4 linked regions of the Arabidopsis thaliana genome follow. The protein of the gene in region 1 interacts with the protein of each later gene in a pairwise test. Each region holds a gene or a part of one and is shown on either strand. Other genes may lie near its edges. The genes, in order: AT5G47530, CRK37, HAE and AT3G56370.

The links.
Region 2: the proteins of AT5G47530 (region 1) and CRK37 interact in a protein complementation assay, tested with the Arabidopsis thaliana proteins (one large-scale study listed by BioGRID).
Region 3: the proteins of AT5G47530 (region 1) and HAE interact in a protein complementation assay, tested with the Arabidopsis thaliana proteins (one large-scale study listed by BioGRID).
Region 4: the proteins of AT5G47530 (region 1) and AT3G56370 interact in a protein complementation assay, tested with the Arabidopsis thaliana proteins (one large-scale study listed by BioGRID).

What each region holds. Positions count from the first base shown.
Region 1 is NC_003076.8:19,277,858-19,284,402, reverse strand, and holds AT5G47530 (Auxin-responsive family protein), read right to left. Parts: upstream 3,030-6,545; 5' UTR 2,933-3,029; coding exon 2,306-2,932; intron 2,177-2,305; coding exon 1,922-2,176; intron 1,839-1,921; coding exon 1,533-1,838; 3' UTR 1,342-1,532; downstream 1-1,341. Other genes in the region: AT5G47540 (Mo25 family protein), read left to right, coding at 29-122, 221-280, 398-466, 556-654, 732-776, 866-968, 1,062-1,138; RABA5a (RAB GTPase homolog A5A), read left to right, coding at 6,037-6,376, 6,482-6,545. UniProt on the Arabidopsis thaliana protein: May act as a catecholamine-responsive trans-membrane electron transporter.
Region 2 is NC_003075.7:2,235,736-2,243,060, forward strand, and holds CRK37 (cysteine-rich RLK (RECEPTOR-like protein kinase) 37), read left to right. Parts: upstream 1-2,637; 5' UTR 2,638-2,675; coding exon 2,676-3,633; intron 3,634-3,724; coding exon 3,725-3,849; intron 3,850-3,933; coding exon 3,934-4,144; intron 4,145-4,235; coding exon 4,236-4,473; coding exon of another isoform or gene 4,474-4,474; exon of another isoform or gene 4,475-4,546; coding exon 4,547-4,703; intron 4,704-4,780; coding exon 4,781-5,032; 3' UTR 5,033-5,186; downstream 5,187-7,325. Other genes in the region: CRK38 (cysteine-rich RLK (RECEPTOR-like protein kinase) 38), read left to right, coding at 6,381-7,218, 7,313-7,325.
Region 3 is NC_003075.7:14,074,632-14,082,967, forward strand, and holds HAE (Leucine-rich receptor-like protein kinase family protein), read left to right. Parts: upstream 1-3,044; 5' UTR 3,045-3,262; coding exon 3,263-5,864; intron 5,865-5,936; coding exon 5,937-6,334; 3' UTR 6,335-6,826; downstream 6,827-8,336. Other genes in the region: AT4G28480 (DNAJ heat shock family protein), read left to right, coding at 25-460; DMP7 (transmembrane protein, putative (DUF679 domain membrane protein 7)), read right to left, coding at 690-1,001, 1,090-1,380. UniProt on the Arabidopsis thaliana protein: Receptor with a dual specificity kinase activity acting on both serine/threonine- and tyrosine-containing substrates that controls floral organ abscission. May interact with the 'INFLORESCENCE DEFICIENT IN ABSCISSION' (IDA) ligands family.
Region 4 is NC_003074.8:20,897,032-20,905,489, reverse strand, and holds AT3G56370 (Leucine-rich repeat protein kinase family protein), read left to right. Parts: upstream 1-2,409; 5' UTR 2,410-2,655; intron 2,656-3,029; 5' UTR 3,030-3,099; coding exon 3,100-4,529; intron 4,530-4,622; coding exon 4,623-6,087; 3' UTR 6,088-6,391; downstream 6,392-8,458. Other genes in the region: RR17 (response regulator 17), read right to left, coding at 1-10; AT3G56360 (uncharacterized protein), read right to left, coding at 8,148-8,458.

The sequences.
Region 1 (6,545 bases):
TTTACTAACTTAATTTCTTTGGATTCAGATATGTTTTGGAGTCTGACCATGTGAAGAAATTCTTTGATTACATACAGCTTCCAAATTTCGACATTGCTGCCGATGCTGCTGCTACTTTTAAGGTTCCAAAACAAAACTCGCATTTTTAGCTTGGATCTTTCCCTGTCTGGGACTAGTAAACATGCAATCATAACTCCAAACCTGTCATTTATTTTCACAGGAACTGCTGACAAGGCATAAGTCTACTGTTGCCGAGTTTCTCACCAAGAATGAAGACTGGGTAAGTTATGTAGCAACAATGCACTATGATATATGCTTGAAGACAGAACATTGTAATTTATCCTCTGCAGGTCCTGCGTTCAAGTCGTATAATAATCTCAAACTTTTTGGTTTGCAGTTTTTCGCAGACTACAACTCAAAGCTTCTTGAATCAAGTAATTATATAACCAGACGGCAAGCTATTAAGGTAGGCTAACTTATACAAGAATCTAAAACATTGAAATGATGGTACTGGCTGATCAATCTTATGTACTGTATGGTGTAAATGTTAAACAGTTGTTGGGTGATATATTATTGGATCGATCAAATTCAGCTGTGATGACGAAATATGTGAGCTCGAGGGATAACTTGAGGATTCTCATGAATCTTCTAAGAGTACGATGCTTTACTCTCCGTTTTTTTGTTCTTGATTATAATAGTTTGGGAAATAAACTCAATCGCTTGAATTACAGGAGTCAAGCAAGAGTATCCAAATAGAAGCATTCCATGTCTTTAAGGTACCTACATTAACGAGATGTAACATAATGATGATTGTCACTTGTCAGTCCAACGTGATTGTACTGAGATTATCGTCACTGTTGTGCAGCTGTTTGCAGCGAACCAAAACAAGCCTGCGGATATAGTCAACATTCTGGTGGCCAACAGAAGCAAGCTTCTGAGATTGTTGGCTGATTTGAAACCAGACAAAGGTATGAAACTAATCTTGTTAAGTGAAACGCTTGTATCCGATCCTTCTGCTCCTTAACCTTATTAAAGCATTGTTTGGTTCATTTGGTTGACAGAGGATGAGAGGTTTGAAGCAGACAAAAGTCAGGTTTTGAGAGAAATCGCAGCCCTTGAACCTCGAGATCTTGCTTGAACCAACTAATGCAATTCATCCTTCCTTCCCTTTTAAAACACTCGAAAAGACATTTTTGAAGCATCTTGTTGTTTTTTTACATTAGGTAACCAATCTTCCTCTCACTTTCTCACCACACACACACACACACACACACACACACACACACATACACATACGAGATATCTATTCGATATATGTATTCATATGTACACTACTTCACTGTCGATGAAATAAAATGGTTTGTCAAAAGCTCACATCATGAATGTTGTAAAAGAGCACAAGAGTCTTTCAACTTCAACAACTATTAAACATCAAATGTATTAACTTAATCTCGAAAACAAACAAAAATTAACAACCACAAGCCCATAATGACCAAATAAACCAGAACATTTTACTCTAATCTTTACAGAGTCTACACGTATAGAGACCGACCATCGTTGCCTACTCGTTGACTTGTTTTCGCAGATGCCTCTGCTTTCCCTCTCTTTATGACTACATACCAAGTAAACCCTTCGAGCACAACCGCGACTATACCTAGTACTACGATTATGGCGGTGTAAGCGTTTCTCCACTGCTTCTCAGGGCTCAGGATGTCTAGTCCTTTAAAAACGTTTACCACCGCAAGAATGATCACTGAATAGCCTACAGTGTGGTGATAAATGTTCCAGTAGACTCTGTACTTGTGCTCTGGTTTGGGTCTCAAAAACATTGCAAACACCTAACGTGTGAAACAAGCAACTTAGTAATTGCAACATATTCATGACAAGTGTAATACTCTCTGTACTGTTAACTAAAACCTACCTGAATTGTTGCGAGGCAGAAGAGAGCGATCCCAACAGCACGGTGAAAGGTAAACTGAATCCCGGCTGATTCGTTGCCCAGTTTGAGACCGGTCGCCCAACCGGCAACACCAATGATGTAAGCAGAAGACTGGCAGAAAACATGAAGGTAGAACCAAGCAGGATCTGCTGATTTTGAGACTTTCAAGTAGCGAGCAATGATTGCTCCTATTGGCATCATTATACCCCAGCTCACACCGTTCAATATTCCATGTATCTGCAATAATGATTAGGAGTGATAAGTTTCATAAAACCAACTAACAATGATGGGATTGATAAATCTCATTTCATATGTGAGATTCCTAAAAAACATGAAATGAAGAAATTGATAAAACCATGGACTCACGTTGCGTTTGCGTAGCTTGGAAGCTCCTCCTGCTCCGGTAGAGGTGGATCCAGATGCACCAGAGACAAGGTTAAGAGTAGAAACAGAACGAACATTGTTGCCAGAAGTTGGATGAGGCAGAGGATTGTTCCCTGACAGTGACCCATCTTGCCACACAGTGTTAATGATTCCACCATTCGCAAGTGGAAGATTCAGAATTGCGTAGATGACCATCTCGTTGTTTTGGTAAGTGGCAGACAACTGAGAGACGTTGAAACTCAGCTCAGCTTCTAGGAGACTCGTTTGGTAGCTACTGATGGGTGACGTATAAGCCCTAACGGTGCCGTCTGATTGTGGATAAGCCACAATGGCTTGAGCTCCGACCATGCCAGTAGATGTGGGATTCACGGCCCATGCCACCCATTTCCCGGGGGTGAGCTTTGTGTGGCGATACGCGATTTGGAGATTGCCTGAAGAAGAATCGTAAGTGTAGTGGAGGAAGGAATCAAGAACAGGTAGGTCGTTGCAAGACTCAAAGAGACGGTTGGTGGAGAATTTGTAGTTGGAACATTTCTGAGCCAAGGCGGATTTGGTGATGATGAAAATGAAAAGAGAGAGACAAAGGAGAAGATTTGAGGATATGGCCATGGAAACAGAATCTCGAGTAATGATTAAAAGATGGATGAATGATAAGATTTAAGTATGAAGGGGAAGAGAGGAGAATGAGATTAAGTATGAATAGAAAGTGGAACAAGTAGGGTTTGGTTTGTTAGTTAATCTGTCTTAATACAGAATCTCTAATTCTCTTCACACGTGTCCTTTTTTCATAGTTTAATCTTTCTTTTAATCCTCTGCTTTTGTTCTTGTTCATCTATCAATTGCAATGTTTTACCTAAGAGTAAAAAATAGAAACATTATAAATGAAGCGTTCATTGTTTTCCCAAAAAGGTTTGACGTGTAATGTATTTCTTCCTTAAGAGTCTTTAACCCTCTCAAGCAAAAACCAAGAAATAAAAATATGAAGGGGTCATCTTCACGTTCAAAAACCAGTTCACACCAACTTTATTACGAGAACTCATTTCTCGTGTTTATTTTTTCTTTGTTTGTCATGAAAAATCTTTTTCATTGTATATAGGTTTTGTCATGACATTGCGCGTTAAGTTAGATTATAATCTTGGTACGCTTGGGAATTGGGATGATGATAAATTATTGAGCACACTAAAATATTAGGTTTCATTGGGTTTAGTGGTTCAATTGACGAAAGTAGACTAGCGAAGGGAGTAGTGGTTTTCGCGTAATAAAGGGCAAACACGTCTATGCCTGCAACTACTAACGTTGTGCATGTATGATGTACCCTAAGTAAACATCTACCACCTTATGAGTATGGACTGGAGCGGACCAGACCAACAAACTGTTTATGAGAGATTCCAATCCAAGGGAAGTGGTTGGGTTTAGCTATTTTTAGAGTTATGTTCTTCTATATATAGGCCGCGACCAACATTTCAACGGTTAAGACCATGTACATGAGTGATATTTTTAGAATATCATCAGTGTAAAAATTATTTTTTTATTAACCAAACAATTAGAATGAGTTTGATTAGTATCATTCCAGTGATTTTCTTGATATCAGTATCATCTACGTGACATCTCCTGATTGGTAGCATTTATTAAAAGTAAGAAAAAAAATATTTATCTATTAAACAAACATTATAAATAATACTAAAATTTTTTTAATGATACTTTGAGAATATCACCTATAAGCATGCTCTAACCAGGTGGATGTATAATAATGTCCTTTCTTGGTCAACGCTCAAATTACTACCTGCCACATGTCCCCCACTAGATTCTTTGGTGTAGCTGGGCTCAGTTTGAACTAGACTCTTTTATATGGGCTTAAGTGTTAATTATCAAAAAACAACCCAAAATGAGATATTTAGATATAATATGTTTTTGATGGAAAAAAAGGAAAGATATAATATGTTTTTTTGATGAATGAAAAGTATTACAATTATTCAAAAAATCACTAGTTTCCTGAAAAACAATACAAATTGCATAGTTTCAGAAGGATAATCTGATTTGGGTAGAGTTTGTTGATGTTAGAAATATAAATATTTTCTTTTATAAATAAAATAGGATGGAAAATCCATCATATTTGAAAGTTTTGTTGTGTCTAATAAATAACAGTAGAGTGTACATAATCGGTAACTTTTTTTTCCTTAACTAAAATTTTAAGTGAAACTAAAACAAAGGTGGTAAAAAAAAGTAGAGCCTATGGTAAAATAGGGTAAGAGGGTCCATAAGGGCCCAAGATGTTTTATTTTTGCTGAGCCCATTATTACCAATCCGAACCGAAATGGAAAAACTCCGGTCTCTTTCTTTCTCTCTCTCTCTGCCAGAGTTACTGCGTGTCTTTGATTTCCCAGAAGAAGGCGTTGAATCCTTTCGTTTTCCGATTCCATTTTTGGGATCTCTTGTTTCGTTTTCTTCTCTTTGGATCCATTCCATTCCCATGTTCCCCAATTTCTTTAATCGGTGTTGCTTCCACAAGGTAATTTTGTTTTCCTCTGCACTTCCCGAGAATAAAGAGAAGGTTTTTCTCAATTTTCCCCTTATGATTATCCCTGTAAATGCGAGTTTTTTGTCCTGTTTTGTCTAATGGGTCTTCATAATTCGTGATCATCAACGTTTTCTCTGTCTTGTGTGTGTATGTATGTGTGTGATCTTACATCTGACGGGAATGTAATGTGATGATCTCTCATGTAAAATTCTGTTTTTACTTGGTTTGATTGTTTCTATTACAATGCTCTGTTTTTGCTTTAAAGAGTTCTTACAATATCTCCTCCTTCTCTTTTGCGAAAATGGGTTCTTACTTGGGTTTAGTTTCTTAGGTGAAGTTTCGATTATTTTTTTGAATTGGTGTTTTATAAGTTTTGATGTCTCATCATCTTTTTCAGAAAGAAATGTGTGGCCTACTTTCATTTTCTAATGCCGTATATGAAGATTTTCATATTCAGGCAGATATTATAAACCTGCAGCAATCATTAACTCGATTCATCTTTAATGTGAGCCCTAAGGACAAGACTGAGAATTTTCTATCAGTGTTTAAGATTGCACTTTGTGTGATCAAGTGAATGAGTATTGTTGGTTGAATTGGGCCCGCGCTTGTCTTTTCTGTCTCAATTCTGTTTCTCCTTATGATAGAGAGAATATTTCTCTGCTTTCCTATTGGTGGCTTTCATGATTTGTGAATAGTCAGTATCTACCGACTTTAACTTAGATTCTTAGGGTGAGATTATAACTAAAGTTAGCTTTACTTGTTGTATATAGGCTTCATGAGCTTGTATAACAAGTTTCTCTAGGAGGTGTTAAAGAGCCAGATCAAGCTTTCAGAAGAGGTAACTTGTATTGCTGTCTTACTTTGGATCCAGAATGCGTTTATGTGCTGAATACTTTGCTTGTGATAGATTTTCTTAGGGTGGTTGAGAGCTGAAAGTTTTGATATTTAGTCAACTTTGTTCCACTGAACCTTCTAGGAAGCTACCTCAAGTAGACAGGTGATCTTAAAGATTCTCTTGTTTCTCTTAGATCTCAATCTTTACTGTTTCTCAAGTTTCCTATGCCAACTCTACTTATTCTTGTCTTCCCTCTTCCTCACTTTGGCTCTTTGTTTTGTCCTTAGCTTTGTTGACGGGCTTCAAGCCAGTGGTAAAGATATGCTTCTGTAGAAGGGTTAATCTTGAGCATTAAAGGACATGGCTTTCTACTCTGAAGACGACAAGAGCGAAGACTACCTCTTTAAGATTGTTCTAATCGGTGATTCTGCTGTCGGGAAATCAAATTTACTTGCCAGATTTGCGAGGGATGAGTTCTATCCCAATTCAAAGTCGACGATTGGAGTGGAGTTTCAGACACAGAAGATGGATATAAACGGGAAGGAGATCAAAGCACAGATATGGGACACAGCAGGTCAAGAACGTTTTAGAGCAGTCACTTCTGCATATTACCGAGGTGCAGTTGGAGCTCTTCTGGTTTACGATATCAGCAGACGGCAGACTTTTCACAGCATTGGTAGATGGCTCAACGAGCTACACAGTAAGAAACCTCTTATCTTTTCTTATCTGCTACTAAACAATCTCCCATTTGCTAATTGATTCAAGAATAATGAAAGTGAGGGGTGTCTTCATAAAACTGTTGCAGCACACTCTGATATGAATGTTGTGACGATCCTGGTGGGCAACAAGTCGGATCTGAAGGACTTGAG
Region 2 (7,325 bases), on another chromosome or scaffold:
ATAACTTAAGCTATTTTATTACATATTCTTATATCTCAATAATCTCCATACATACATAATAATTAAATAAAAATATATGGTGAAATAATATTTGTTCCTCATATTGAAAAATTATGTACGTATATGTGCAATAATGTACGTACATTTTTGTTGGTAAATTAATGTATGTACATGTGTAGTAATATACGTACATCTTTGTTTGTGAATTAAATTATTAAGAAAAATTTATTGATTCAATAATAAACCGATATTGACAATGACTGAGATATATTCTAAGACTTTCATACGATGTGATTTTGAAACATTCTGAATTCCTGACGACTTGAGCAGTCAAATGTCATGGACAGGTATCATCAACGCATACTATCTCCAATCTTGTAGGACATGACCTAGGTTGCTTATAGCAAAAACATTGTTTGATTGCGAGATAAGACATTGTTTGTTGTATGACTTTTCTGTTCTTAAAAATACTCCTCAATCTATAGTGTACGTACATTGGTACAAACCATGTTGACACGTACTTCTTGGAGTCACAGCTGGTGTACGGTCACCCGAGTGAGAAATGTTATCTTTGTTAGGTACACGCTGACTTGTGTACGTACACGCTGCCAACAGCCGACTGAATTCCCCTGGACGTTGAACAGTCAGTTGAGTGAAAATGAAGTCCTCCTCAACATTCCCTATTCCATATTCTTCTACAATTACATCGTTCCACTTGTTGTAATCATAATCTTCGCCACTACTTTCACTACCATCGATAGTAGGATCGAGGGTACTTCTCCCATAGATCCATAGTCACCCTGATAATCATCATACCCATCACCATTTTCGTTGTCCCCCTCCTATTCATCTTCATCTGTTTTACCGTCTTCAACGTCGTCTTGCTCATCTAGCGCCTCATTATTTTCATCAACATTTGAAACACTATCACACACATGGTCACTTTCAGCATCGTCACCATGAGTCCTAGAGACATTATTTCCGAGTGTCTTGACGGTTGTAATGAAAGAGACAAACAAGTTAAGAAAAAGATACCCACCACGAATCAAAAAGAACGTATCTAACCCCACTTGACTGTCAATGTAGACAGGAGGGCGTTTAGTATCTATCATCACTGACATCTCTCCCGGCATCCAGTAACTAATTATGGGATTGATCTCTGCGGACTTCAAACTGAAAGCCTCGCTTAGTGTACGTCATATTTTCCTTAACACGTACACATCGACCAAACATGTCTTCCTCTGGTTCAAATTTCCATTCTTCTTCTTTGCATCTCCACTCACCGACCATAGTAAATACGGGAATATCCATTACCCAACTGCATCATAAATTCAGGAGAAACCCATTAAATGCAACTGAAAACATGATTATATCTACAAAAACAAATAGAATTTCGATATACACACTTATAAACATAAATATCTACTCATTTAGCATTTTCAACCAACAAAATAGGAAATAAAAGATTTCTGGGTTTTTCTATAAAAAACAAAGTTGATTTCGAATACAATGAAGATCATAGTGTGTTATAACAAAAAACTTCTTAAAACCTTCATTAGTTACACGATAATGCTTGTCTTGGCTCCAAACTTCGTAAATAAACAAGATCAACCCTTCTTCAGCATCACATTCCTTCGTAAAATAAATTTTGTTTCTGGGTTCATCTTTAATTCAACAATTATTATCTCAAATATTAATCCAAAGTAATAATGATTTTGCATTAATTGTGACAAGAGTCACGTCTAAACTTTTTGGGCATTAAATATTGATGGCAAATTGTTTTTCAATGTTAGTAAGCCCCCCTTTTAACTGTACAACCGCACAAATCAATGTTTCTCCAAAATATCTTTAACCAAACCGGAATAGTGTACCTAACTAAATCGTCTAACTTAACCGTACATTCAAACAATATCTAGTTACGCTGGTAAGGGTAAAATGGTCAAATTTCAGCTGAAAAGATAAAACATGAAAACTACCTTTGACTTTGCCAATCTCTGAAAATAAAACATAGTCAAAGGGTGTGACCTGCAAATTACCTTACAAATTCTCCTTCTCCTTTTTTTTTTTTTAATATCTGAAAATTCAAGTCCAAAGACTCTATTTTTTCCCGAGGCGGGATCTACAGTAGGTTAAACTCATCTCTTTTAGATAAGAGATCTCTTTCAACATGCCTCGAACCCTACACCTCCACTTGAGAGATTTACCATTGGACTAACCGCACGTTAGAAAAAATTCAAATTCTCGTTTAACAATGCGTTGAAGACAAAAAGTCTATACGGGATAAAAAACTATTTAAAATGAAAAAATAAATCATTAAAAAAAAGGATATCTTAGATCAACATCACAATTTTTTTATTTAGATTTGATTATCAATTTTCTTTTTTAAAATCACCTCATCAGAATTTATCAAGAAACAATTTTAGCTAGGTCACCTCTAATAAGTGAAATCATTAAACAACGATATAAACAATTATGAAAGTGTTACTCCAAAATTTTATTGTAACAAGTACTAGCTATTACAATTAAATTTTAAGAATATGCTACCACACCTAGTCAAGTCAACTAGTACCCATTTCTCACGTCACATATTAACATGCAATGACGGGTTATAAATTAATCTATCCTATAATGAGAGGAAAAAAAAACCATTTTAACAACCTTATCAATTTGTGTAAATGGGAAAGAGTTGTGTTGTGACTAGTTCCTTCTCGCTTCTCCTTCTCTTCCTTCAAACCCTAAAATATGTTCATGCCGGTTTCATTTGCTACGGCGACTTTTTCAATGTTAACTACGGCGTCAGTCGAACGTATCTCTTCTCTTCTCTTCCTTCTAACGTCGTTTCTAACGGCGGTTTCTACAACGCATCGTTTGGCAGAGATTCCAAAAACAACAGAGTCCACGTTGTTGCCTTATGCAGACGAGGCTACGAGAAGCAAGCTTGTAAGACATGTCTCGAACATGTGATTGAAGACACAAAATCCAAGTGTCCTCGCCAAAAAGAGTCTTTCTCGTGGGTCACTGATGAATTCGACGACGTTTCTTGCTCTCTACGTTACACCAACCACTCAACTCTTGGCAAACTCGAGCTCTTACCAAATACTATTAACCCTAACCCTAACAGTATAGATTCCAAATTCAACAACATGGCCATGTTCAGCCAAGAATGGATTGCAATGGTTAACCGGACACTCGAGGCTGCTTCCACCGCTGAGAATTCCTCAGTCCTTAAGTACTACAGCGCAACAAGAACAGAGTTCACACAAATTTCAGATGTTTACGCGTTGATGCAGTGCGTGCCTGATCTATCGCCAGGCAACTGCAAGAGATGTCTTAGAGAGTGTGTGAATGACTTTCAGAAGCAGTTTTGGGGAAGACAAGGAGGTGGGGTTAGTCGGCCTAGCTGTTATTTCCGGTGGGATCTTTATCCGTACTACAGAGCTTTTGACAATGTTGTAAGAGTTCCTGCTCCTCCTCCTCAAGCTTCTTCTACTATTATCGATTACGGGAGAGACGAGAAAAGTTTTCAAGGAAGCAACATAGCAATTATTGTGGTCCCTTCAGTCATCAATCTCATCATATTTGTGGTTCTAATATTCTCTTGGAAGAGAAAGCAGTCACACACCATAATCAATGGTAAAGTCTTTTAAAATAAGCAACATATATATTCCTTATCTTACTAAGAGTTTGGTTTTAAACTTGACATGTTTTATTTGATGACGTGCAGATGTTTTTGATTCAAATAATGGTCAATCTATGTTACGTTTTGATCTTCGAATGATTGTAACTGCAACCAATAACTTCTCTCTTGAAAATAAGCTTGGCCAAGGTGGATTTGGATCTGTCTACAAGGTAAAGAAACTAGTAAGAAGAGTCCTAACAAAATCTTAAGATGGGTCAGTGATCTTTAATTATAGCATGAGAATTCGTTTTCAGGGAATATTACCAAGCGGGCAAGAGATAGCGGTAAAGAGATTAAGAAAAGGTTCAGGACAAGGAGGTATGGAGTTCAAGAACGAGGTCTTACTCTTGACAAGACTCCAACATAGGAATCTGGTTAAGCTTCTTGGGTTTTGTAATGAAAAAGATGAAGAGATTCTTGTCTACGAGTTTGTCCCCAATTCAAGCCTTGACCACTTCATATTCGGTGAGCCTTCGCGAGACGAGACTTTGCATCTTTGCATGTTACACTACTTTTAGAAAACAAGAAAAAAAAACTGTTTCTTTGAGATGTGCAGATGAAGAAAAACGCCGAGTTCTGACATGGGATGTGAGGTATACAATCATAGAAGGAGTTGCAAGAGGGCTTCTTTATCTCCATGAAGATTCTCAGTTGAGGATTATACACAGAGATTTGAAGGCAAGCAATATCCTTTTAGACGCGGAGATGAACCCTAAGGTTGCAGATTTTGGGATGGCAAGGCTGTTCGATATGGACGAGACTCGAGGACAGACAAGCAGAGTAGTTGGAACATAGTAAGTAAGCTCTGTTTTTATTTTTAAAGATTCTTTGATCAGCATCACTATTAATATGATTTGGTTAATGCAGTGGATATATGGCTCCAGAATACGCGACATACGGACAATTCTCGACAAAATCTGATGTTTATAGCTTTGGTGTCATGCTTCTAGAGATGATAAGTGGTAAAAGCAACAAAAAGTTGGAAAAAGAAGAAGAGGAAGAAGAAGAAGAGCTTCCAGCTTTTGTAAGCTTATCACTTATGTCGATCATCTTTACTCTTCTTCTTCATCTTCTTATCGAAATTTTAAAAATTATTTGCAGGTGTGGAAGAGGTGGATTGAAGGAAGATTTGCAGAGATCATTGATCCTTTGGCTGCTCCGAGTAACAATATCTCAATAAACGAAGTAATGAAGCTCATTCACATAGGTTTGTTGTGTGTTCAAGAGGATATTTCCAAAAGACCTAGCATTAATTCAATCCTCTTTTGGCTTGAGAGACACGCTACTATCACAATGCCTGTGCCCACGCCTGTTGCTTATCTTACGCGACCATCGTTATCACTTGGTCATTAATGAACCGTCAATCATGTATGTTTTATACCTATTTGTCTCTCTCTGTACAATGAATGACAAATGTTGAGAAAAGAGATGCCGTGTAATGTAAGCAAACTTATGTTTGATTTGTGCTAAACTTATTTATATTAAATGAATATTTGATATAGCCAGCGTTTTGGATAATGTTGGAAATTGGACTGAAACGGAGGAACGCATAGATGAAATTAAAGTCCAATTTCTATGAAAGTTCACACGAGCAGAAACAAAAACTTTGATCTAATGTAAGAGGAAATGCGTGCGGTAGGGGTTGCGTAGTCATAAAGAAAGGACATTGAACAAAGGCACATTTTTAAACTTATATGTAAGAGCATCATGGGCTCTTAACCATATTTAGAATTTAAATATTGCACAATCAAAATACCCCTCATGAGTTTTTATTTTTGACAACTCCAATGGTAGAAGTTCTAATGAGGCTCTTAAAATTTAAATTTTTGAAATTTATATGTGTTTGTGTAACACCCCGATTTCAGGAATATGGTGGTGCATACGGTGAAATTTAAAATAATTGATTTGACCATTTATATTACCAAAATGCATTTATCTTTTCGATCAAAGATGTTGAAAATGCTCAAGTAAATAACATTTGACATTATATTTTACTTTTTTCATGTTTACAATAAAGCTTCGTTTTGTATGATCTGAAATATAAAATTTTCTCTATATTTATAACCAATTTACTATAGACTAAATATTTTTAAATTACAAATACCGAATGACTAATCCATAAAACTGTGATGGACACCATATATAAAGCTATATTGGACGATTGTGGGTGTTGTTCATTAAATTGATGATTTCCACTATGTCAAACCTTTCCTCCAAATTTAAGAATGACAAACTATCCAAAATTATTTTCAAAGATTTTTGAAAGACTCACTACGAGTTTCTCAGAAATTAACAATTGTTACAATTTTCACTTCTTTTTTCTTCCTGAATTGTCACATTCTTTATACAGTATATGAGTATGACTCGTAGACCAAGCAAAGGAAGACTTTTTTGGTCATGCATGCGACCAAAAACAAGTACTTACATAACCATATTGAAAGGACAATATTTTCAATACTTCTAGAGAAGAAAAAAACCCTTAGTTCATACGAAGTGATTAAGAAATGTTTACCCTTTCTCTACGGCTATTTGAATTTGAATGGCCATCTTTGAAGTCAACCATTACTCAAATTTTTTCATGTGTACTCAACCAAAACCCATTCTCTCTCATGTCACCTAATTATACACATATATAAACATTTATTACCTCATTAACAAAAAAAAAAACAATGAACAAAACCCTAAACTCCATTGCTTAACAATGATAATGAAGAACTCTGCTGCGATCTTCCTTACTTCTTCCCTTATTCTTCTCCTTCAAACCCTCCACGGAGTTAAAGCCGGTTTCATCTGCGTCGGAAGCTCCTTCCCCACCAACAGTAGCTACCAAAAAAACCGTGACTCTCTCTTCTCTACTCTTTCTGATAAAGTCACCACAAACGGTGGATTCTACAATGCTTCACTCGATGGAGTTCACGTTGTTGGCCTCTGTAGAAGAGACTACGATCGGCAAGGTTGTATCAACTGCGTAGAAGAATCCATTCGACAGATTAAAACAAGTTGTTCTAATCGTGTTCAGTCGTTCCATTGCAATAGTGACGATAGAGAACGTGTTTCTTGTCTTGTACGTACCACGGATCAATCAACTTATCGGATACTCGAGCTTGGACCAGCTACGAATGACCCGAGTCCTGTTGCTATCGACACATTCGCAAAGAACATGACCCTTTTCCGCCAAGAATGGGAAGCAATGGTTGACCGGACGCTCGAGGCTGTAACCATTGACAATTCCACAACGGTTCTCAAGTATTACGGTGCTCTCAAATCAGAGTTCAGTGAGTTTCCAAATGTATATATGATGATGCAATGCACACCCGACATAAATTCAGGCGCGTGCAAGAGATGTTTGCAAGCGTCCGTTACATATTTTAGAGACCAGAATTGGGGCAGACAAGGAGGCGGGATTTGTCGACCGAGCTGTGTTTTCAGGTGGGAGTTTTATCCCTTTTACGGCGCTTTTGCTAATGTAACAAGAGTTCCAGCGCCTCCTCGAGCTTTGATTCCTCGAACAGAAGCAATCTCCATCACTCGCTTGAAAGGTGTGAAAACAAATGAGTTGTTTAACATTTTCACCTGTGAAATTATCTGAGATTCTCATACAAATATTAAAAAAGAGAAGCCATAATCTTGCAGGAGGAATTATCGC
Region 3 (8,336 bases), on another chromosome or scaffold:
ATATCTGTCTTCTGGTAAATGCAGTAAGGCAATGCAAGTGGAAGAGATTCTAACGATTGGAGTGAAACCCGGGTGGAAGAAAGGCACAAAGATCACATTCCCAGAGAAAGGCAATGAGCATCCAGGTGTGATTCCAGCGGATCTAGTCTTCATCATTGACGAGAAACCCCATCCAGTGTTTACCCGTGAGGGCAACGACCTGATTGTCACACAGAAAGTCTCACTAGCTGATGCCTTAACAGGCTACACCGCAAACATAGCGACCCTTGATGGCCGTACACTTACAATCCCGATCACAAATGTGATCCATCCAGAGTATGAAGAGGTGGTTCCTAAAGAGGGAATGCCACTCCAGAAAGATCAGACAAAGAAAGGGAACTTAAGGATCAAGTTCAATATCAAGTTTCCAGCGAGATTAACTGCGGAACAGAAAGCTGGGTTTAAGAAGCTTATTGGGTGATGATTAAAGCATCTCTGTCTTGTGATGTGTGGAGATTGGGATAAATTTGGTAATATACAATTTATAGGGAATTATCTCCCTCTTCATTAAATTTCGTGTTGTTAAACAAGTCTTCTTTTTAAAGAATAGTTTTTTCAAGATTTGGTACATGTCCTCCATAAACAAAAATTGAAGATCACAAATCTTTTTGTTATACAAAAGTTTTTCAGTTCTTGTCTAGAGTATGAAATTATTCTTTGGTAAGGGGAGATCCGATGCCATGACGGCGTGTAGGGAACGCTAGGAAGAAGGCACCACAAATGACGCCGATGACAAAAGGTAAACTGGTAAGAATCTCCTTGGTTTCCTCGGAAGGAACGGGGAATAAACAACGGGTTACGTTCTGATCAAACATGGAGACTGCGAAGAAGACGAGCATTGACATGATTGCGTGAATAAAATCAAGAATCTTGAGCTTATACTTTTCCTTCTCCTCCTCCGTTAAAGTAATCGATCCATCCATCACTAATAGCCCACTCCACGTTGCCAACCCGTACCTAACCTGCAACATTAAGTTTGGTGCTTATGTCAACAAGTTGTTATGAATGGTACAAAACAGCGGAAAATGTGACAGAGATATGTATATATACCTTGCCGTTTGGGTCTCTAATGGAGTCGGTAAAGGAGAAGAGGAAGCAGGAGATGGCGCATAAGGAGACGAGGAAGCAGGTGAGCCAGCGACTGGTGATGGTGGGACACTGACCTTGATGGGTTAGGACCGGACACATTATTTGAAAACTCATTACAGAACCGGTTGGGAGCAGATTTGATAGATGAGCTGTTCCTTTGAATGTTTTCCTCACAACTCTCTCTACTTTCGACTTTGGTTTTCTTGGTGCCGACGGCAACGATGCTATCAATGACTGCTTCGTCTCCTCCATCTTCAATTGTTTTTTCGTTAATCACTCTGCAAATTCGAATGATTATATATGTTTCTTTTTTTTGTCTCTATGGTTAATTCTGATTTGAAAGAATTGCACAAGATTTTATGGGTTTCGATTTCTTTCTTTTTTGGTGTTTGCTTCCGTTGAGTTGTTTGTTCAGGTTTCAAGGTTGATATTCTGTTCTTCCATTTTTATGTTTCTGTTGCATGTCAGGATTAGCAATAAAAAACGTAAAAACCAAATAACATTTGAGTAACGAAACAAGAAATAGGAGTTTTGTAACAGAAAGGATTAAACTAAAACTCTGTCACCGTTTCCTAAGAAGATATATCATTATCAAAGTTACTTTTATTATATTGATATAGTAAAACTTTGCTAAACTAGTAAAAACTAGTTTTTCGAAAATAATCTAGATTAGAATTCTCCAAAGACGTGGCTTAATTCTAATCTGTCTAACGTATGGACCATAAAGAATTGTATTAAATTGGTCTTTGAACGAATTTATTCTTCGGCTAAAAGAGGTTATCGGTTGTGAAGTGGACCTGCAATTTCATTTGTTTGTTCATAAGAATATATGAACGAGAACTTAGGTGACCTCTATTTCATATAACTTTTACATACTGCATACTGGTAAATCATATGAAATATGGACTTTTAAAACGAAACAAAAATCACGTATAACCCTATTAGTGTATATAGAGTCTCTGTTGTGTTGAGACTCTGTTGTGTTGAGACTCTATATACACTAATAAACCCTTTTTACTTCTTTGTTCCATACGAATTAAGCTTCAGAATAACAGAATTTAAGAGAATATCGTTATTAACAGCAAAAGTCCAAAACAATTAAAAGGCAGAGTGCTTGTGGAGACGTAAAGGGAATGCAAACTAAGAAGAAGAAAAGTCATTATCGTTAGAGGACCAAAGACTTAAACATTATTGGATTAAGGTGACATCATAGTGCATAGTGCGTTGTACCATCGCGCAAACTCGTGATATTCGATCACGGATTAAAGCCATGATCTATCATTTTCTCTTCTTTCCCCCCTTAAATCTCGTTGTTTTTTCAAATCATAGTGACTGTTGCTTTTCCCATCGAAATGAAAGTAATCTAACAAAATCTACTGTTAGATCATGTTTCTCCGACCAACCAAATTTGACCTTGTCTACATATACACGTGGCTTCACAAATGCGCATCAAGCAATTGGAACTTGGAAGCATCACTATAGTTCTAAACTTCCAATTAAAAGATTGTTAGTCAATCTAGGGTTGGGATCATAGGTGGCTAAGTTTTCGGTTTAACAAATTTTCGAGATCATCGATATAAAATCATAGGATATGTCCTCATCACAATACAGTATACACACACACATAAGTGATTAAGTTATGCATTCATAACATTAATCCAGAAGCTTTATATGCAGACTCGAAAAGTCAACATAAATCCAGCATTACATGGCCCATTTGTCTCCATCATTTTGACCATCATAGCATTTCAGTTGACTTGGAGAGTGACCATTGGTCCATTCTGTTTCTTTTCAAATGAACAATTAAATGTTTGTTCATTTATCAAAAAAATATTTTTTATAAAATTACCTTATGTAATTATTCATAATCCGATTTTTTTTTAATATCACTTTACAAATTTGTTTATGATTTATATGTACAGTAGTACTTTGCTCCGTAATCGATTTCACATGGATGTATACTATTGCCTCCTAATTCTTCCAATATCGGAAAACATGTCTCACCCATGTCTTGTCACAGTGCTCGTTTCCCTTTTTGCTTCTACAATTCCTTATAATTACCAATCCATAATTTCGTTTTATTCACAAATCCAAAGCATGAAAAAAGAAGAATAACGATTCCTTTTCCAAAAAAATGCTTTATTGTCTTATTCTCCTCCTATGTCTCTCTTCTACGTATCTACCAAGTCTATCTCTAAACCAAGATGCCACCATTCTCCGGCAAGCCAAACTGGGCTTATCCGACCCGGCCCAGTCCCTATCTTCATGGTCCGACAACAACGACGTCACCCCATGCAAGTGGCTAGGCGTGAGCTGCGACGCCACGTCAAACGTTGTCTCCGTCGATCTCTCAAGCTTCATGCTCGTCGGACCTTTCCCCTCCATCCTCTGCCACCTTCCTTCTCTCCATTCCCTCTCTCTATATAATAACTCCATCAATGGCTCTCTCTCCGCCGACGACTTCGATACGTGTCACAATCTCATCAGTCTTGATTTATCGGAGAATCTATTGGTTGGATCCATCCCAAAGTCACTTCCTTTCAATCTCCCAAACCTCAAGTTCCTTGAAATCTCCGGAAACAACTTATCAGACACGATCCCGTCGAGCTTCGGAGAGTTTCGAAAGCTTGAGTCTTTAAACCTCGCCGGTAACTTCCTCTCCGGTACAATTCCCGCCTCTCTCGGTAACGTCACGACTCTTAAAGAACTCAAACTCGCTTACAATTTGTTTTCTCCGAGTCAAATCCCGAGTCAACTCGGAAACCTCACGGAGCTCCAAGTTCTCTGGCTCGCCGGCTGCAACCTCGTCGGTCCGATACCTCCGTCTCTGTCCCGGTTAACTAGTTTGGTTAACTTGGATTTGACATTTAACCAACTCACAGGATCTATCCCAAGTTGGATCACGCAGCTAAAAACCGTCGAGCAAATCGAACTATTCAACAACTCGTTCTCAGGCGAGTTACCAGAATCCATGGGTAACATGACGACGCTAAAAAGATTCGACGCGTCGATGAATAAGCTGACAGGAAAAATACCCGACAACTTGAATCTGTTAAACCTCGAGTCACTCAATCTCTTCGAGAACATGCTCGAAGGTCCTTTACCGGAGAGCATAACTCGCTCCAAAACCTTGTCAGAACTCAAGCTTTTCAACAACAGACTCACCGGAGTATTACCGAGTCAACTCGGCGCTAACTCACCGTTACAGTACGTGGACTTATCGTATAACCGATTTTCCGGCGAAATACCGGCGAATGTCTGCGGTGAAGGGAAGCTAGAGTATCTAATTCTTATAGACAATTCGTTTTCAGGAGAAATCTCTAATAATCTCGGAAAGTGTAAGAGCTTGACCCGGGTCCGATTGAGTAACAACAAGCTTTCGGGTCAAATCCCACATGGATTCTGGGGATTGCCTCGCTTGTCACTTCTCGAACTCTCTGACAATTCGTTCACCGGAAGTATTCCTAAGACGATCATCGGCGCGAAGAATCTATCGAACCTACGAATCTCAAAGAATCGATTTTCAGGTTCAATCCCCAACGAAATCGGATCGCTTAACGGAATAATCGAGATTTCCGGAGCGGAGAATGATTTCTCCGGTGAGATTCCTGAAAGCTTGGTGAAATTGAAGCAATTGAGCAGGCTTGATCTCAGTAAGAATCAACTCTCCGGTGAGATTCCTAGAGAACTTCGTGGTTGGAAGAATCTAAACGAGCTTAATTTGGCTAATAATCATCTCTCCGGTGAAATCCCTAAAGAAGTCGGAATCTTACCTGTTCTCAATTACCTTGACCTTTCAAGCAATCAATTCTCCGGTGAGATTCCGTTGGAGTTACAGAATCTGAAGCTAAACGTTTTAAACCTTTCGTATAATCACCTCTCCGGTAAAATCCCTCCTCTCTACGCTAATAAAATCTACGCACATGACTTCATCGGAAATCCCGGTTTATGTGTTGATCTCGACGGCCTTTGTCGGAAGATCACACGGTCTAAAAACATCGGCTATGTATGGATTCTTTTAACGATTTTCTTACTCGCCGGTTTGGTTTTCGTTGTCGGGATCGTTATGTTCATTGCCAAGTGTAGAAAACTCAGAGCTTTGAAGAGTTCTACTTTAGCAGCGTCGAAATGGAGATCATTCCACAAGCTTCATTTCAGTGAGCACGAGATAGCTGATTGTCTCGATGAAAAGAACGTAATCGGGTTTGGATCTTCTGGTAAAGTCTATAAAGTTGAGCTTAGAGGTGGAGAAGTTGTAGCTGTGAAGAAACTTAACAAAAGTGTTAAAGGAGGAGATGATGAATACAGTAGTGATTCGTTGAATAGAGATGTTTTTGCAGCGGAGGTTGAAACGTTGGGGACGATTAGGCACAAGAGTATTGTGCGTTTGTGGTGTTGTTGCAGCTCTGGTGATTGTAAGTTGTTGGTGTATGAGTACATGCCTAATGGGAGCTTAGCTGATGTGTTGCATGGTGACCGCAAAGGCGGTGTTGTGTTGGGTTGGCCAGAGCGGTTGAGGATTGCTTTGGACGCTGCCGAGGGTTTATCATACTTGCACCATGATTGTGTTCCTCCCATTGTGCACCGCGATGTGAAGTCGAGTAACATACTGCTAGATAGCGATTATGGGGCTAAAGTTGCTGACTTTGGGATCGCTAAAGTCGGTCAGATGAGTGGTTCCAAAACTCCAGAAGCTATGTCCGGGATCGCCGGTTCTTGTGGTTACATTGCACCAGGTATAAACCAAAACATATTTCAGCTGCATTTTGTAACTTTTGATCTTATATTAATAGTTTTCAATTTTGCAGAATACGTATACACACTTCGGGTGAATGAAAAGAGCGATATCTACAGCTTTGGTGTGGTGCTTTTGGAACTGGTTACAGGGAAGCAACCAACTGATTCAGAACTTGGAGATAAAGATATGGCAAAATGGGTGTGCACTGCACTTGACAAATGCGGTTTAGAACCCGTGATCGATCCCAAACTCGATCTCAAGTTCAAAGAAGAAATTAGTAAAGTCATTCACATTGGTCTACTCTGTACGAGTCCTCTCCCTCTAAACAGACCTTCCATGAGAAAAGTTGTGATCATGCTTCAAGAAGTCTCTGGTGCTGTTCCTTGTAGCAGTCCAAACACATCTAAACGATCTAAAACCGGTGGGAAACTCTCGCCTTACTACACGGAAGACTTGAACAGCGTTTGAACATTCCAATATGGGCTGAGAATCGGTTTGGGCCGGGGATAGCAATTTGATGTTATGATGCTAGGTGAACTGTAAGAAAGATATCAAAAACAGAAAAGTGGAGCTTTCTGATTAGGTAATTGCTCTTAAAGCTAATATAAAGTTATAATTTGGATATTAATTTTAATTTAACGCAATATTTGCAATATTTGGTGGTTGGTCCACCCAATAGCCAACCTTATTTAAACTCGAGCTCGTTACCAGTTCAATTTTGGAAAACGGATCGATTCTGACGAGTGATGATCAATATTTTTTTTTCTAATTTTTTTTTCATATTCTTATAAAGTAAAACTTAGTGTGGTAATACTAATGCCATTATAAAAAGTAAATTCTAAATAGCCAAGCATAGACAGCATATGTCAGTATAATGTGGTTAGATAGATTTCTTGAATGACACCTTGCCGCGGTTTCGATCCACCAATGAAAACAACAAGCTAACCACAAAATTTTCCAACAGACACAGAAGTGTAACATTTGTTCATAATTTTTTGTTTAGTTTGATAATAAATTAAGAATAGGTTGTATAACATGTGTTTAGAGTTAACAGGGGAGAGCAGAAACAAAAATCAGAAAACAAAGAGAAAAAATAAATAAAGGTTGAGGAGGTTCCTTGTTAATGTTATGCATGAGAAGTCTACGTGAAGAAATAGAATAATGACTAGCTTTTTAACTTTCCATTTTTTTTCTTTTTTTTTCTTTTTCTTTTTATCTATCTAAAAACCAATATTATAATGTTTTCTAACGTATATCACTAATATCAGTATGTGATTTCAGTAAAATTTATGTACATACAGTAATATACTGATGATGGAGATGTTAAATATGTGTAAATTATAAGTATAAGTTTATGTATAATATCTTTACATACACTCTAGGGTGACATTGGACCTTAACTTCTCTTTCTTATTTTTTGTTCTACCATATCACGTCTGAGCTCTCACAGACCAGCAACAACACCTTGCCCCAAACTTACTCCATCTCATATTCATTTTCAAATCCTATACATTTAATCAGCAAATTACCAAGATTAATTGATTAGTTATAGGTTTTATTATCTTTACTCAACATTCAACATTATACATTGGATATAGAGATCATCCCACACAAACTACGACAAGACAAGTTATTTTTGTTCCATGCATGTTATTGTCAAAAAAGGAAAGATTAGCTCACATATGTATTCCCTCATAAGATTTTGTCTTTCATGTTATTTTGTTTGATCAGTCTTTGTCCATCTCTCTCTCACACACCATACATACATGCCATGAGCCCAACCAAACTTAAAACCCAAGCAATCTTTTTTTTTCTTTCCTTCTTGGTTATTCATTTATTTATTCTTCAAAATATCACATATATGTATTTTTAAGAATAAACTAAAGTCTATTCAATTTATATGTTTTTTTCTTCAAAAAACTGTATATGTACATGCACACTTGTAAAAAAAGCGAAGAAAAATAGTTCCAATAATTTATCAAACTAGTACATGTTACAATGTAAAACTAATTAAGGTTTGAAAATTTCATAGTTCTTTAGACTTTACTTTCAAGTTGTAGGTGGGCATCTCCCTCTCGTTGTTACTTAACATGTATGTTTCTACATACTTGTTAAACAAACCTAAGTCTTTAAATAATTATTTCTCACTATACAGTATATAGAACATTTGTACACATTATAAAAATGAGGTTTAAATAATATTTCTTCTAGGATTATCTCATCTCTCTCTTTCATGGATAGTACAGAGTTAAAATCAAGTGCAAAAAGGGGCAATTATCTCAGCTTAAAAAAGTGATGAACAAGAATTTAATTCCTTCCTCTTTCTCAAGATAACCTCAAAGAGATCTTCTTATGAAACATATGCTTTAGCTATCTTTAACCCTTTTTCCCTTCTCTCTTTCTATTTCTCCCTCATACCTTTGTTTATTCTGATGAAGTTGTGAGCACTGAAAGAAAAGAAGAGAGGAGA
Region 4 (8,458 bases), on another chromosome or scaffold:
CCTTATTCATCTCCTACGATTACAGAGAGATATCGTTTTTGTTCCTTGTGAGTCAAGCAACAAAGAACAAAAATCTGCACAAGAAGGAGGAGAATAAATGAGTCAGACACTAATACATTATACTGCTTTTAATTCTCAAACCTAAAGAAAACAGAGACAAACTTACAGAAGAAGGAGAGAAAAACAGAGAAATGATACATTAAAAAGATTTGAGAATGGATGTGTATATATATATATATATATATATATAATTATGTTGTTAATTTATATATGGATATATAGGATAACAATATATCAAGAAATGATTTGATATGATTTTATCTTCCTTATAATTTAAGATACAACAAGTTGTGGTTTTGTTCTTGGTATTTGATTCTCTGGAAACTGGTAAGAAACTTGGTGTTTTATGTCAGTGACAGTGCTTTGTGATCTTGTACGATGATAACGAAAATCCAAATATTAATTTTTAATTTCCCATTTGTTTGGCTTTTCTAATCGTGCGTATAATGAAGATGCAAATTTATAATCATATTTAATTTTCAAAATGGATCACAAATCTGTATCAGAATCTCAGTTACGAAGTCCCCATGATTCTCTAAAATTTAAGATATATTATCATTTTTAGTATTTGAATTTTTAAACTATGGGCTTGTTCGATGTGTATATTATTATTTGTCAATTTTAATTATCGTGAAAACCTCAAATTTTAATACGAAATCTTTGACCGATATGATAGCTGCATAGTTGCATGGGCCAGCCTTGTAACGCGTTATAAGTAGCTGCGAGTCGCATTTCTTTAGTTCAATTTGTTTTCTTTCCTGAAATATAATTCGGACTGTAGAACTTTGATAAGCCTTATTATTATCTGAGCCCATTTATCGTTTCTCATTAATGGGCCTCTAATGGAAGAGTTGGACCCATCTTATCCGTAGTTATTTACCATGGAATAAAAAATGAAACTGTAAGTAATCAATAATTAAATAAATATAAGAAAATTTGGAATTTTACATCACCGGAAAGTAAATATTTTACCTTTTAATGGCTGGTCCTAAATGCCAATCCTGATATGACAGAGGAAGATTCGAGTAAAAATTGAATGTGGAAATAAATACTAACTGTAGAAAACAAACAAAGGGTAAATTCTTCATATAGATGGAAAGCGAAGAACAGTAAATGTGAATTCGCTACGGTCCGGCTCACACTGCCCAAAAAATTCCTCGAAAGCTCTTAAAAACAGTAGTAAATTTGACCCTATATTTTTAGAATACATTAAAAAGTAAAAAAGGCCTCTTTGTTAAATTGCAAATAGAAACAAATAGTAAATTCCAAAATTTCCATGAAGGGTTGTTTTCCTTCCATGGGGAAAAGAGTTATTTTTCATTGTTTATTTCATAATAAATAACTTTTACTGTCAAAAGGAATATAAAATTTTAAAACATAGGTATGGGAGAGAGACCGAAGTCTGATAAAATGTCTTGACTCGGACCAAATCTCAAACGAGAAAGACAACAATTAAAAAAATTCCAAGAGCATGCTTAACGGATTATAATATTTTTTTCAACATCATTTGTTCTATTATCTGTTTTTTTTAATGTTTTATTTTATGGCAATAAGTGTTTGACACTTAGTTATTCAACCGCATTTCAATCTGTAGGAAAAGTTTACATAATGTATGATTCCTTGCACAAACAGAAGATCCAAAATTTACATCTGTAGCTCCTCCAAGTCAACCAAAATCCTTAGGTTTGTGATCCAATTTCAAAACCCCATAATTTTTCAAGAAAATTTGTAAACCCATAATTAATAAGTTTGATGCATTGACTACTGACCAGGACATTGTACATAAATGAACAATAACATTATGGTTGCAATTATTAATGATCTCTAAGCACCACAAAATATTTTTTCCAGGACACCATCATCATTCCTCACCAACTTACTTTAATGTTCTTACTTCAAAAAACAAAATAGAGAATCAAAATAAAAAAATGAAAAACCAAAACTATGGTGACCACTTTAACCACTGTCTCTTTCTGCATAATTTTTTACCCAAAATACCAATTCTCTGCATGAGAATAACAGAACCAACCACATTCCACATTATTTCCATTTTATGTGAAAGATTATTTTCTAATTAGTTGAATCATACCAAGAGGCCACAGAGCAGCATGTAAACCCATTAAAGAAAGTTTCTATTATTTGGGAAGGATAATTTAGTCATATTCAAATTTATAGTTTCTTTCTTTATGAGTTGGCCAATCATTTATTCATTTTCCCACTTACTATACCAACACAAAATAAAAATAAAAGCCACGTGTCAGCCAAGTCGGATTCGTCAAACCCAACAAAATAAATACACGTGTCAATTAAAGAGTTTTAATGAGTCCACCCACCTTCCTCGGGCCCCACACTCTCTTCTTTCCAGCCCGTTGATAAAGGCAGCTTTTAATTACTCTCTCTGCTCTCTTTTTTTTTCTTTATTGGCTTTTTTCTCTTCTTCCCAAATTCACTCTTCTTTTAAAGCTACAAAACCTAACAAAGTTGAAGAAGAAGAAGAAGCTCGTGCTCTCTCACTTTCTTTTCCTACGGTGTTTTTTTTCCCCCTGAGCTGCAACATTCTTCGTCGGAAATCTTCCCGGAGAAAATTCTTACTAGGTGAGAATTCCTCATTTCCAGATCGTAACTGTCCAATGACTCCTTTACTTAAAAAAACTCAAGTTATTTTGCTCAACATTTACTTCAGCCATTCACTTGAAGGTTGAATATTTCTTCAATTTCTATGAATTTCAAGTAAACTGTAGCTACTTCTATTCATATAACTAGCCTTTGTTTTACCGGATTTTTCTTCATTGTTTTTTGCTTTGTTTTGCTTCCTCCGTTGGCCGAAATGTAGCCGTTGAGATAGATTTTTGTTCTTTTCTTCTACTAAATCTAACGCCTAAGAATACGAACAAACAAAGTTTTTGTTTTGAGATGTACTGTTTTTTTTTTTCTCTTGTGTTCACCAATTTTCTTCTTTCTAATTTCAGCTCTACATAACTGAAAATGGAGGTCTTCCGCAACTAAAATCTGTTCAACGGAGAAGAGGGTTGTGGAAAGATGTACAAAGCACTGATTTTTACAGTCTTGTTGGTGTCGGCAGTAGCTCCGGTGAGATCTCTAGACCCGCCTTTAAACGACGACGTTTTAGGGCTCATTGTCTTCAAAGCCGATTTACGAGATCCAGAGCAAAAGCTAGCTTCTTGGAACGAAGATGACTACACTCCTTGTAGTTGGAACGGAGTCAAATGCCATCCGAGGACGAATCGAGTCACTGAGTTAAATCTAGATGGCTTCTCTCTGTCTGGTCGAATTGGTCGTGGCCTACTTCAGCTTCAGTTTCTTCATAAGCTCTCTCTGTCCAACAACAATCTCACGGGAATCATTAACCCTAATATGCTGCTGAGCCTTGTTAACCTTAAGGTTGTTGACTTGAGTAGCAATGGCTTGTCTGGTTCGCTTCCTGATGAGTTTTTCAGGCAATGTGGGTCATTAAGAGTTTTATCTCTGGCGAAGAACAAACTAACGGGGAAGATTCCGGTTAGTATAAGCTCGTGCTCGTCTCTTGCTGCTTTAAACTTGTCTTCCAATGGTTTTTCTGGTTCTATGCCTTTGGGGATTTGGTCTTTGAACACTCTAAGATCACTTGATTTGTCGAGGAATGAGTTAGAGGGAGAGTTTCCAGAGAAGATAGATAGATTGAACAACTTGCGTGCGCTTGATTTGAGTAGAAACCGGTTATCTGGTCCTATTCCTAGCGAAATTGGGAGCTGTATGCTGCTGAAGACTATTGATCTTAGTGAAAACTCTCTATCAGGAAGCTTACCAAATACATTTCAGCAGCTCAGTTTGTGTTATTCTCTGAACTTGGGAAAGAATGCGTTAGAAGGTGAAGTTCCAAAGTGGATAGGAGAAATGAGGAGTCTTGAGACTTTGGATCTTTCCATGAATAAGTTTTCAGGGCAGGTTCCAGACTCCATAGGCAACCTTCTAGCACTGAAAGTTCTCAACTTTTCTGGGAATGGGCTTATTGGTAGCTTGCCGGTCTCAACAGCCAACTGTATCAACCTCTTGGCCTTAGATTTAAGTGGGAATTCACTAACTGGAAAGCTTCCCATGTGGCTATTTCAAGATGGTTCTCGTGATGTGTCTGCATTAAAGAATGATAACTCTACTGGAGGTATCAAGAAGATCCAGGTTTTGGATCTCTCCCACAATGCATTCTCTGGCGAGATTGGAGCTGGTCTAGGAGATCTTAGAGACCTGGAGGGATTGCATCTGTCCAGAAACTCTCTTACCGGCCCCATCCCCAGTACCATTGGGGAACTAAAGCACTTGAGCGTCCTTGATGTGAGTCACAATCAGCTCAATGGAATGATTCCTCGAGAAACAGGTGGAGCTGTTTCTTTGGAGGAGTTGAGACTTGAAAATAACTTGTTGGAGGGAAATATTCCATCTTCCATCAAGAATTGCAGTTCCCTTCGGTCTTTGTAAGTCTCTTTTGCTTTAGGTTGCATTCTGTTAAGATTTTCCCATTGAAGATTATGTCTTAACTGTGTTCTGTTTCATGCTTCTTTCTACAGGATCCTGTCACATAACAAGCTGCTAGGCTCAATTCCACCAGAGCTCGCTAAACTTACAAGACTCGAAGAAGTCGACTTATCATTTAATGAACTGGCCGGAACACTTCCTAAACAGTTGGCTAATCTCGGCTATCTTCACACATTCAACATATCTCATAACCATCTCTTTGGGGAACTACCTGCAGGTGGAATCTTCAACGGTTTATCCCCAAGTTCAGTATCAGGAAACCCGGGAATTTGCGGTGCTGTTGTCAATAAGTCTTGTCCTGCCATCTCCCCTAAACCGATTGTGTTGAATCCTAATGCAACTTTCGATCCTTACAATGGTGAAATAGTGCCTCCAGGTGCTGGTCACAAAAGGATACTGCTTAGTATATCTTCTTTGATAGCCATTAGTGCTGCTGCAGCCATTGTGGTTGGTGTAATAGCCATCACGGTACTTAATCTGAGAGTGCGCGCATCAACGGTTTCAAGATCAGCAGTACCGCTCACGTTCTCAGGCGGAGATGACTTCAGTCGATCTCCCACTACTGATAGCAACTCAGGGAAGCTGGTGATGTTCTCTGGTGAACCTGATTTCAGCACTGGAACACATGCTCTGCTTAACAAAGACTGTGAGCTTGGTCGAGGTGGATTTGGAGCGGTGTACAGAACAGTTATCAGAGATGGGTATCCTGTAGCTATCAAGAAGCTCACTGTCTCGAGTCTTGTCAAGTCTCAGGACGAATTCGAAAGAGAGGTGAAGAAACTTGGAAAACTCAGGCATTCGAATCTGGTTAAACTCGAAGGATATTACTGGACAACTTCTCTCCAGCTTCTGATCTATGAGTTTCTCTCTGGTGGGAGTTTATACAAACAGTTGCACGAAGCACCAGGAGGTAATAGTTCGCTTTCTTGGAATGATCGGTTCAACATTATCCTTGGTACAGCGAAATGCTTAGCTTACTTGCACCAATCAAACATCATCCACTACAACATCAAATCGAGCAACGTGTTGCTAGACAGCTCTGGTGAGCCTAAAGTAGGAGACTACGGATTAGCGAGGCTGTTACCTATGCTAGATAGGTACGTGCTGAGTAGCAAGATACAGAGTGCGTTGGGATACATGGCTCCAGAGTTTGCTTGTAGAACGGTGAAAATAACAGAGAAATGTGATGTTTATGGATTTGGAGTCTTGGTCCTTGAAGTGGTTACAGGTAAAAAGCCTGTGGAGTATATGGAAGATGATGTTGTGGTTTTGTGTGATATGGTGAGAGAAGCTCTTGAAGATGGAAGAGCAGATGAATGTATTGACCCAAGGCTGCAAGGGAAGTTTCCGGTAGAAGAAGCGGTTGCAGTGATAAAGCTAGGGCTTATTTGCACTTCTCAGGTTCCATCAAGTAGACCACATATGGGAGAAGCTGTTAACATATTGAGGATGATCAGATGCCCTTCAGGGAGCTCAGATGAGTTGGGTTCAAGTTGAAAAGAAGGTTAAAGACTAACATGTTTTTTCACCAAGTTCCGGCGAAGAGGAATCCGGTTTGTTCATTTGGGGGTTTTAAGAGAAATCCTTGTTTGTGTTTGTTTTTTGATAATCTCTTATGTGTTATCTTTTGTGTCTGTTAGTTTCAATTTCAATGTTTGTAGCTTCTTCTATTTATTGTTCTTGTAACATTTTTAGGGCTGTATCGGATTTGTCTTCACCGGGTTCCATAATATGGGACTCTTTCGATGAAATCTTAAGTATTATTATGAAAGAAAGCCTGTAGTCTTCATTTCAGGTTCTGAACCATCTTTTAGCAGTCGTAGAAGATAAGAGCTTTCTTGTGAGACAAATAAAAACTTAGGGTTGAGAAAAACAAGAATCAAGATAAAACTTAGTGACTTCGTGTGATGATGCTCTCTGAACAAAGAGAGTATAAAATAACTTAAGAAGCTTCATTTGTTGTAACCATGTGCATGGGACTCTGTGAAAACTCAACAATTTAATGGGTCTGATCTTTTATTGGATTATGGGAATCGAAGAAACGTCTCAAGAATCTGTAATTAAAATACATTATTCATTAGTATCTTTTTGAGGGATAATATAAGTACATTTTTAACAGAAGAACCCTAGTTTCAATGGCCGATAAAAGAGGAATGGAGCATGCCTTGTCTGAAACAGACCACGTTTTTCTCTCTTGGAGTTGGGAAAGACGAAATTAGTACTACAATCTACGTTGTCTAGCCTCGGTAATTTGCAACATTTTGACATTTTAACTCATAAGTTAAAAATCCATTTCAATATTGTACATGATAGCATTAAAGTGAGATGGCATCTAACGTTTTGACTTTCTAAGCCAAATATGCTAACACTTTTTTTTTCCATTTGAAATGGAACCTGAAAAAATAAGTTACTTAAGGGACATTTTCCATTTATAATTTTTTTCTTTTTCCATATACAGCTTATTATTATATTACCGATCAATTCTTCGGTTTATAACTAGGTTGGAGAAAAAAATAATTCATCTTTCTATACACATTTTTTCATGTCATTAATATATACAGCTTATTAATATATGAGTTAATTCCTCTAGGTTAGCTTATACAGTATATATGTCATTTTCATTTATTGGATTATTTCCAAAAAAATCCCAAAAAGGAACCTTGTATAAACCAAAAAAATAAAAAAATAAGATTGTGAAATGTTAAAAAAAAAATATATATAATGGTGATCATAATTAAGCCATAACTTAAGAGTCTTAGATGGTGATGCCAATAATTTAGAGGTGGTTGATTAAGTGTAATCATTCACTTCCGTAAGTCCGATCGTGAAATGTCTTGTGCTGCTAAATGTGTATCGCTTGTCAAAGTCATAAACAATGAAACTCCTTGGCCCCTTTAGATTAGCTTATTGTATGTCATTTCAATTTATTGGATTCTTTCAGAGAATTCATAAAAAAGAAGAAAATAAACATTGGATCATTCATAGCCCATAGGAACAAAGGCCTATACCTTCCATATATTTACGGGCCTTAAAATCTAAATCCAATATCCAAATCCATATAAATGATCCAATCAAACAATCCATAATTTTCCATCACGACCATGTTTTATTCATTTTCTCTCTTTTCCATCTCCGGAGATCGACTCCGGAATTTTCCGACGGAGGTTATGAACTCTAATGCAACTTCTGGCAGTATCAGCTATAGGCTTTGCACTATGATCACTAACAGAAGTTTTAAATCCACCTACACTTTTGCTTATTGTGGTGTTAATGAATGCATAATTGCATATAGATCTTACACGGATTAAGTTGTCTACTTGTCTTGATTCAAATCCTCTATACTACAATAGCAACAAAACTAACAATGTTCTTTGATTAAACAAATCACTATAACCAACCAACTTTGACCATTTTATTTACATTTATATCACCAATCCAAATTCCTAAAAAATGTTCTGTATTAATAACAAATGTAATTTGATCATCCATAAGGGTTTCATAATCAAAACCCAAAGAGTATAAATAATTTACAGTGCAAATCCTTTGACAATCACTGCTCATTGACCAGTCTGCACCAACCACGAATTATTCAACTGTGACATAGCCGTTTCCCTAAAACTCTTGACCTTAACCAAACAGAAATGGGTGCAAACCGTACCCATACCCGACCGGACCCGGGTCGTTTTCAATAGATAACAAACCGGCCCAGTATCCGATCCTCTTCCTTGCGCCACAATCCCCCACGCGCTTGTATCTTCCCCACACGCGCCACCATCGTGATCATCATCATCTGCTATGTCACCGTCTGCGAGCTTCTCCACCAATATAACTCCTTCCGGCGTCCTCTCTTCTCCTCTACCCCACTTTC